Rattus norvegicus: one gene and its partner. The protein of the gene in region 1 purifies or fractionates together with the protein of each later gene. This does not show direct contact. Links are inferred from orthologs where the notes say so. Each region holds a gene or a part of one and is shown in the gene's direction. Other genes may lie near its edges. The genes, in order: Edc4 and Edc3.

Evidence for each region.
Region 2: the proteins of Edc4 (region 1) and Edc3 purify together in Homo sapiens (affinity purification with mass spectrometry; 6 studies listed by BioGRID and IntAct, with this or other methods). This does not show direct contact. The link is inferred for Rattus norvegicus from reciprocal best matches to the Homo sapiens genes EDC4 and EDC3.

What each region holds. Positions count from the first base shown.
Region 1 is NC_086037.1:50,690,197-50,694,004, forward strand, and holds part of Edc4 (enhancer of mRNA-decapping protein 4), read left to right. Parts: coding exon 1-70; intron 71-187; coding exon 188-368; intron 369-464; coding exon 465-537; intron 538-634; coding exon 635-726; intron 727-801; coding exon 802-989; intron 990-1,068; coding exon 1,069-1,202; intron 1,203-1,279; coding exon 1,280-1,436; intron 1,437-1,786; coding exon 1,787-2,223; intron 2,224-2,315; coding exon 2,316-2,420; intron 2,421-2,524; coding exon 2,525-2,677; intron 2,678-2,758; coding exon 2,759-2,795; intron 2,796-2,909; coding exon 2,910-3,087; intron 3,088-3,191; coding exon 3,192-3,347; intron 3,348-3,435; coding exon 3,436-3,551; intron 3,552-3,638; coding exon 3,639-3,804; intron 3,805-3,808. UniProt on the Homo sapiens protein: In the process of mRNA degradation, seems to play a role in mRNA decapping. Component of a complex containing DCP2 and DCP1A which functions in decapping of ARE-containing mRNAs. Promotes complex formation between DCP1A and DCP2.
Region 2 is NC_086026.1:67,036,530-67,040,337, forward strand, and holds part of Edc3 (enhancer of mRNA-decapping protein 3), read left to right. Parts: intron 1-406; coding exon 407-560; intron 561-3,808. UniProt on the Homo sapiens protein: Binds single-stranded RNA. Involved in the process of mRNA degradation and in the positive regulation of mRNA decapping. May play a role in spermiogenesis and oogenesis.

The sequences.
Region 1 (3,808 bases):
GCCTCCCAGTCTCAAAGTTTGCTTGGACCTCTCAGCAGAATATTTGATTCTTAGTGATGTGCAACGAAAGGTAGGCTGCTGTGGTGGTACATTGGAAAGAGCTGGTGTTGCTGGGAAGGGCAGGGCTATGTGATGTAGTCACAGCCCTTACAGCCTCAGTTGAGTTAGCAGTGTGTTACTCATGCAGGTCCTCTATGTGATGGAGCTGCTGCAGAACCAGGACGAGGGCCGTGCTTGCTTCAGTTCCATCTCTGAGTTCCTGCTCACCCACCCTGTGCTGAGCTTTGGCATCCAGGTTGTGAGTCGCTGCCGGCTGCGGCACACTGAGGTGCTGCCTGCTGAGGAGGAGAGTGACAGTCTGGGGACTGGTGAGGTGCCCTGGGGTAAGGGCTATATGTTGGTATGTGGGAAGTGTCCATGCACAGAGCAGGCCAATGCCTTAATGATCCACACTGTCCTTTCAGAGAGTTCCCATGGAGCTGGTACCTTGGAATCTGCAGCTGGTGTGCTTATCAAGCTCTTTTGTGTGCACACTAAGTGAGTGTGTCAGGGAGGCCTGCCATGTCCTGCCTATGTCCCCCTACCCTACTGGCCCTGGCCTTTTGAGTATTCTCTTCTCCCCTTTGTTCTTTAGGGCACTCCAAGATGTGCAGATCCGCTTCCAGCCACAGCTGAACCCTGATGTGGTGGCCCCACTCTCTACCCACACTGCTCATGAGGACTTCAGTGAGTAAGGGAACAGAAGGGAGACTGGTTCCACTGATGTGGCCTTGAGATCTGACTTAGCAGCTTTTCCAACAGCATTTGGAGAGTCTCGACCTGAACTAGGCTCTGAGGGGCTAGCTTCAGCTCCTCATGGTTCCCAGCCTGACCTCCGACGCATTGTGGAGCTGCCTGCACCTGCAGACTTCCTCAGTCTGAGCAGTGAGACCAAGCCTAAGTTGATGACACCTGATGCTTTCATGACACCTACCGCCTCCCTGCAGCAGGTACTTACTTCCTTCGTGGAGAGAGGTCTGGTAATGTCCCATTAGCTAACCTTAGCACTCATTTTCTGGCTCTTCCCAGATCTCTGCATCCCCTAGTAGTAGCAGCAGCAGTAGCAGCAGCAGCAGTAGCAGCAGCAGCAGTAGCAGCAGCAGCTCTCTAACAGCTGTGTCTGCTGTGAGCAGCTCCTCAGCCATGGACCCCTCCTTGCCCAGGTAAAATAAAAATCAGAATTGGGTCTTGTGCCCAACTGTGACGAATTACAGTTGCTAATGCCGTGCCTTTCTGCCAGTAGGCCACCCGAGGAACTGACCTTGAGCCCCAAACTGCAGCTAGATGGCAGCCTGACTATAAGCAGCAGCAGCAGCCTGCAGGCAAGCCCTCGGAGCCTTCTTCCGGGCCTGCTCCCAGGCCCAGCTGACAAACTAATTCCCAAGGGACCTGGTCAGGTAGGTGGGGGTTGGGGGATAAGGGGAGAATATGAATGCGTATAAAGTACTAGGTAGCAAGTGGTAGAGGGCAATGGAAAAGATTGGAGCACTCTATTCCTATATATTTTTCTTCTGACCCTCCTTGGCCTTGGAAGTGTTACATTTCCTCAAAGGTTAGAGCAGGCTTTCATGTTCCCAAGAGGGCATCTCGTCAGCCTCCAATCCCCACCTCTTGTGAACTGTGGCCCTGCTTTCCACTTGCATCTCCCTTTTCTGTTAGATGATGTCTAACCACTACAGATGCCAGTGCCTTATTTTTGTGCCCCTGAGCCCTTAGCACTTAAGCCTCTATCTTTGGCTCTTCTCAGGTATCTTCTGGTACTTCTGCACTATCCTTGGATTTGCAGGAAGTGGAACCATTAGGGCTACCCCAGGCCTCCCCAAGTCGCACACGTTCTCCTGATGTGATCTCCTCAGCATCCACTGCCCTGTCCCAGGACATCCCTGAAATTGCATCTGAGGCCCTGTCCCGTGGCTTTGGCTCCTCTGTACCTGAGGGCCTCATTGAGCCAGACAGCATGGCCTCAGCTGCCTCAGCACTACACCTACTGTCTCCTCGGCCCAGGCAAGGCCCTGAGCTTAGTTCTCAGCTTGGTCTAGATGGAGGCCCTGGGGATGGGGATAGGCATAGTACCCCTTCCCTACTGGAAGCAGCCTTGACCCAGGAAGTTGCAACCTCTGACAGTCAAGTCTGGCCTACAGCACCTGACATTACTCGTGAGACCTGTAGCACACTAACAGAAAGGTAAGAAGATTAGAAGGGGGAAATATGCCTGGGCGGGCGGGCAGGGCGTCTATATTAGGACTGTCCACTACTGAGTCCATGTGTTTCCTTAGCCCCAGGAATGGCCTCCAGGAAAAGCACAAAAGCCTGGCCTTCCACAGGCCACCTTATCACCTGCTGCAGCAACATGACAGTCAGGACACAAGTGCTGAGCAAAGGTGAGCACAATCTTGTTCCTTGCTTCTCCTCTAAGGAAGGAGAGCAGTGAATAAGGGAAAAGCAAGTGAGCAGACACTCAGCCTTCCTCCCCTTCCTTCCACAGTGACCATGACGATGAGGTTGCCAGCCTTGCCTCTGCTTCAGGAGGTTTTGGCAGCAAAATTCCTACTCCACGGCTGCCTGCCAAGGATTGGAAAACCAAGGGATCCCCTAGGACTTCACCTAAGCTCAAGAGGAAAAGCAAGAAGGATGATGGGTAGGAGAATTCTTGGACCGGGGCCAGGGGTGGTGGTCTGAGCTGCCTGTTGTGACCTGCAATGCTGTTTTGCCTATGTAGGGATTCAGCTGTGGGATCTCGGCTCACCGAGCACCAGGTATGTAAGGGAGCACCTTTCTACCCATGGGGCCCCATCCCACAAGGGTGGGAGGGACTTTGAGCTACTTTTTTTGGTGGGTGGAGATGTGTAAGGTGTCAGTGCTTCTGGCAGGTGGTAGAGCCCCCTGAAGACTGGCCAGCACTAATTTGGCAGCAGCAAAGAGAGCTGGCAGAACTATGGCACAACCAAGAAGAGCTGCTACAGCGTCTTTGTGCCCAACTTGAAGGTCTTCAGAGCACTGTCACAGACCATGTAGAACGTGCCCTGGAGACACGGCATGAGCAAGAGCGTATCCTTGGGGTAGTGGCACAGCATGGCAGTAAGGTGCAGTAGCATTCTTGCCTAGGAAAGGCATAGGTCCTGTTGTAGGCCTGTTCCTTAGCTCCACCACAGAACGGCGACTGGAGCGGGCACTGGCTGAGGGGCAGCAACGGGGTGGGCAGCTACAGGAGCAGCTGACACAGCAGCTATCCCAGGCTTTGTCTTCAGCTGTGGCTGGGCGGCTAGAGCGCAGCATAAGGGATGAAATCAAGAAAACAGTTCCTCCATGTGAGTTTTCCATGAGGTTTCTTTCCACTGGGCCAGGTGGGTGTAGGGCACTTTCAAACTGATGGTTCCATCCGCCTGTCTCTCCTAGGTGTCTCCAGAAGTCTGGAGCCTGTGGCAGGCCAACTAAGCAACTCAGTGGCTACCAAGCTTACAGCTGTGGAAGGCAGCATGAAAGAGAATATCTCTAAGCTACTCAAGTCCAAGGTGATGTAGGGTCCAGGATGGGGGAAGTGTGGCTAGACAAGCCAGATTGAACTCGGGCTTTCAACTTGACCCCTTCCTATATTTTAGAACTTAACAGATGCCATTGCCCGCGCAGCTGCAGATACGCTACAGGGACCAATGCAGGCTGCCTACCGAGAAGCCTTCCAGAGTGTGGTGCTGCCGGCTTTTGAGAAGAGTTGTCAGGCTATGTTCCAGCAAATCAATGACAGCTTCAGGCTGGGCACTCAGGAATGTGA
Region 2 (3,808 bases), on another chromosome or scaffold:
GACTGTCTCTGCCTTTAGAATGCTGAAATTAGAGTCGTGCTCTAACTCCCTAGAAAGGCTTATTCTTAAGAAGTTGGCATTTGACCTAGAATAAAGCTCATTTGATAGTTTTTGCTGAGCATACACAAAGTTCTAGGTTCAGTTCTCAATACTGAATAAACTGGGCATGTGTGTGTTTGTTTGTAATCCCAGCAGTTAGAAGGTGGAAACGAGGTTTAGAGTTCAAGACCATCTATGGCTACATAAAAAGTTTATGCCTGGGCTACCTGAGAGGTCCTGTCTCAAAACAAAAACAAAACAAAAACAAACCAGTTGACTTTTGCAGATTCTGTGTAGAATGGCCACATTTTTAGACCTGATTTCTTATAATAAATTTTCCTTGTTTCTTGCCTCTCTTTTACCATAGACTCTGGCCTGGTAGTCCCAAGTGTTTCCTATGAGCTACATAAAAAACTGTTGTCTGTGGCCGAGAAGCATGGGCTGACCCTAGAGCGGAGACTTGAGATGACTGGTGTGTGTGCCAGTCAGATGGCCCTGACTCTCCTTGGAGGACCCAACAGGTGAGTGGCTCTAGACTGGCAGTGCTAAATGTGGGGTGGCAGTGCCCTGCATGGTCAGCCCACATACCTCACATGCACATAGGAGCTGCTGCCAGGCAGTCACTGATGTCCCCTGTGAGCCTCTTATGCTGCCAACCTTCTTTGCCCTCTTCCCTGTCTCCTGGAAGTCCATACTGCCTTCTTTCCTGATAGCAGCGGTCTGGTCTTTTGAGATCCATGCTGATTGTCAGGTCTGATTTTGGGAAGTCCTGCAGGGATCTGGCCTTTGACACTGGCTTTTCACTAGAAAGCGTATCAGTCCCGAACGCCATCGCTCAGGGCATTTAGAGGCACCCTGACACCTAGTGGAGGAGGTGGTTTCTGCCTGCCTAAAGGCCACTGTTAGCAGCAGAGCTTGGTCTTCCCAGAGTATGTGTTCTAGACCTTCTCTTTGACCTTGGGCACACTGGAGACAACACAGTACACTGCTCATGCCTGGGGAAGTCCTCATGCAGGAAGTAAGGTGAATTGTCATGATGAAGGAAGCAGAGAAAATTGTCTAGAAATCCCCTGACTGCACTTGGCGGGACAGTGTCTCCTGGTTCTAGAGCAGTCTTACGAAAGCAAGTTTGGTCCAGGAAGGATAGATTTCATTCTGGTCTCAACTGCTTGCTTTGTAGAGTTATGAGTATTTGTTCCGTTGTGTGCTTTTCTTGGACCTGTTCTTTCCTATGCCTGACACTCATGTGCAGAAAGGGAAGTGGGCTCCCCAAGGAGGGATAGCTTGCTGCACACCTACTCTTGGAGTAGCCACCTGGATTGTCTTGGAATGAATTCACTGGGCAGAAGGATTTTTGAAGCCTTTAAGTGACTTTCTAGAAACTGGTGCGGGGCAGAGGGTATGCATGTCCACACCAGTGTATTCTTCTCTCACTGACTTCTTCTGACTAGTGGACTACTTTTTTTCTTCCTTCCTTCCTTCCTTCCTTCCTTCCTTCCTTCCTTCCTTCCTTCCTTCCTTCCTTCCTTCCTTCTTTCCTTCCTTCCTTTTTAAGGACAGGTTTACTCTGTAGCCCTGGCTATCTCAAATCTCCTGCCTCAGGCGCCAAGGCTTGCAGGCACTTGGCTACAGGTGTTTACCACTGTGCCTAATCCATTTAGGATTTTTCTGTGTTTGGTTGGTTTTGAAAAAAAAATTTGGTTTTTGTCTGTTTGGTTTTTTTGAGACAGGGTTTCTCTGTATAGTCCTGGCTGTCTTGGTGTAAGGGTCCATGATTTGCCCAAGAATGATACTCTGGACTTAAATAGTATGCAAACAGAGTGTTTTATTCTGCAGAAATCTAGCATGTTGGGGTCGCTCCATTACCAAGATAGACAACTAAGTGACCTCACAGGCCAGATTTAAAGCACATTAGGGGATTGCAGAGTCAGTGACCTTTATCTTACTCCATCTCTAGGATATTTCATTACTGGGACATGGGGTCTGGCTAGAAACTGCTGACCCATTGTCCTCGTTTCAGGCCAGGTGGTGGGACATTTCTGATGGCAGTGCAGTTTCTAACTAGCTGCCTAAAGCCTGGGTGTTTAGGCCTAATGTCCTGAACGACCAATTTGCAGCCTGCCATGGAATCAAACTCTCATCATTGGAACTTGCCTCACTCTGTAGACCCAACTGGCCCTGAGCTCACAGAGAGCCACCTGTCTCTGCCTCCGAAGTGCTAGTCTTAAAGGTGTGCCACCACCAAGCCTTGCCTGTTTTTCTTAATCTGAGCTTTCCAGTTGCATCTCTGTCCTTGTAGCAGTTACTAGTCTTTGGAAGTCAGACACATTGTTTTCTGTCTGTCAAATGTGTGTGTCAAGTGCCGTTTTCACAGCCGAATTTTATGTGCTCCTCAGAGCTTCACATTGAAGGGAAATGTTACAGACCCATGACTTAAGAGGAACAAACTGTGGCTTGGAGCTTGAAGGAGCATCCAGGTAACACTGCTGGTATAATGGTGCCAGAGCTTCACCCTGCAGAGGTGCTGTGGGTGCTAAGACCCCAGTCGGCTTTCATGCTGGTGAGAGCTTATGGGGTTAGGAAGGGTCTTGGGGAGTAGACCCTTGAGTCAGATGCCAGGACTCTGTAGCATGTATGTAAAGGAAGTCTTATTTCCTCTAGAACAGTGGTTTTCAGCCTTCCTAATGCTGCGACCCTTTAATACAGTTCCTCATGTTGTGGTGACCCCCAACCATAAAATTATTTTCGATGCTACTTCATAACTGATTTAGTTATGAATCATAATGTAATCTGTTAAATGAATCCTGCAGAGGGTTGTTCGGCCCAAGAGGGTGTGACATACAGGTTGAGAACCACTGCTCTAGAAGCAGAGATAATGGGGTAGAGAGTAGCTTGGCATCTGTTTAGAGGATTGTACTAAGTTCTCCCAAGTATGTTTGGGAATGAAAGTCCTGAAACTCCTTTTAGTCTCGACAATACCTGTAAATCTTCCTCTGTGGGTGGTGATTGGCACTGGCCCACCCTACATCTTACGGTTCATCTCATCTCTACCTTGTGGCCCCCTCTAGGGCTGATCTCAGCCTCCTTAGCATTGGCTGTCATAAAACAAAGACATGGCAGCTTTGACTAGCAGGAAGACTGCTCCAAGGCAGGTTCTGCCCTGATGTCTAGGAATCTCAGTTGAGGATTTCTGTGTGTGGGGAATCTCGGTCGATGCATTTGCTCACGTAACTCCACAGGAAGTAACGAAGCATCATCCACAGCACTGCGTTCCTTGGATGAGTGGCAAATAATCAGGGACAATAGGAGTTGAGAAAAGAAGAGTTATCATGACTCATAAGAGTGAGGTGAAGCTTTAATCTGGAGCTCAAAGAAAAGGGAGCTCGGAGTTTGAAAAGTGAAGGGCTTGTGTGCTTAGTGGAGGTCCTGCTTGCCCATGGCTTTGCTTGCTGTCCTGGCCCAGAACCAGCACTCTGGGTTGGTCCATCGGGCATCTGTTCCATCTGCAGGCTTCTGGGGCATGTGGAGGAGCCGGTCCTACAGAGTCAGACGTTGCTGAGTGGAGCAGGTCCTGAGTCTGCCAGCTGGCCCTCAGCTTGTAACCCTGCCTGATAGACATGGGCGGGACATGGGATGCCGCCTGAGGGCTATGGGTATGAAGGTGGAACCTAGTGAGCCTCTGGGAAGCCAAAAGGGCAGGGAGGTGTGCGGCAGCCTGAAACTCACCTAGAGCCTACCCCGAGATGATCACCCTGACTCTGGGCAGTAG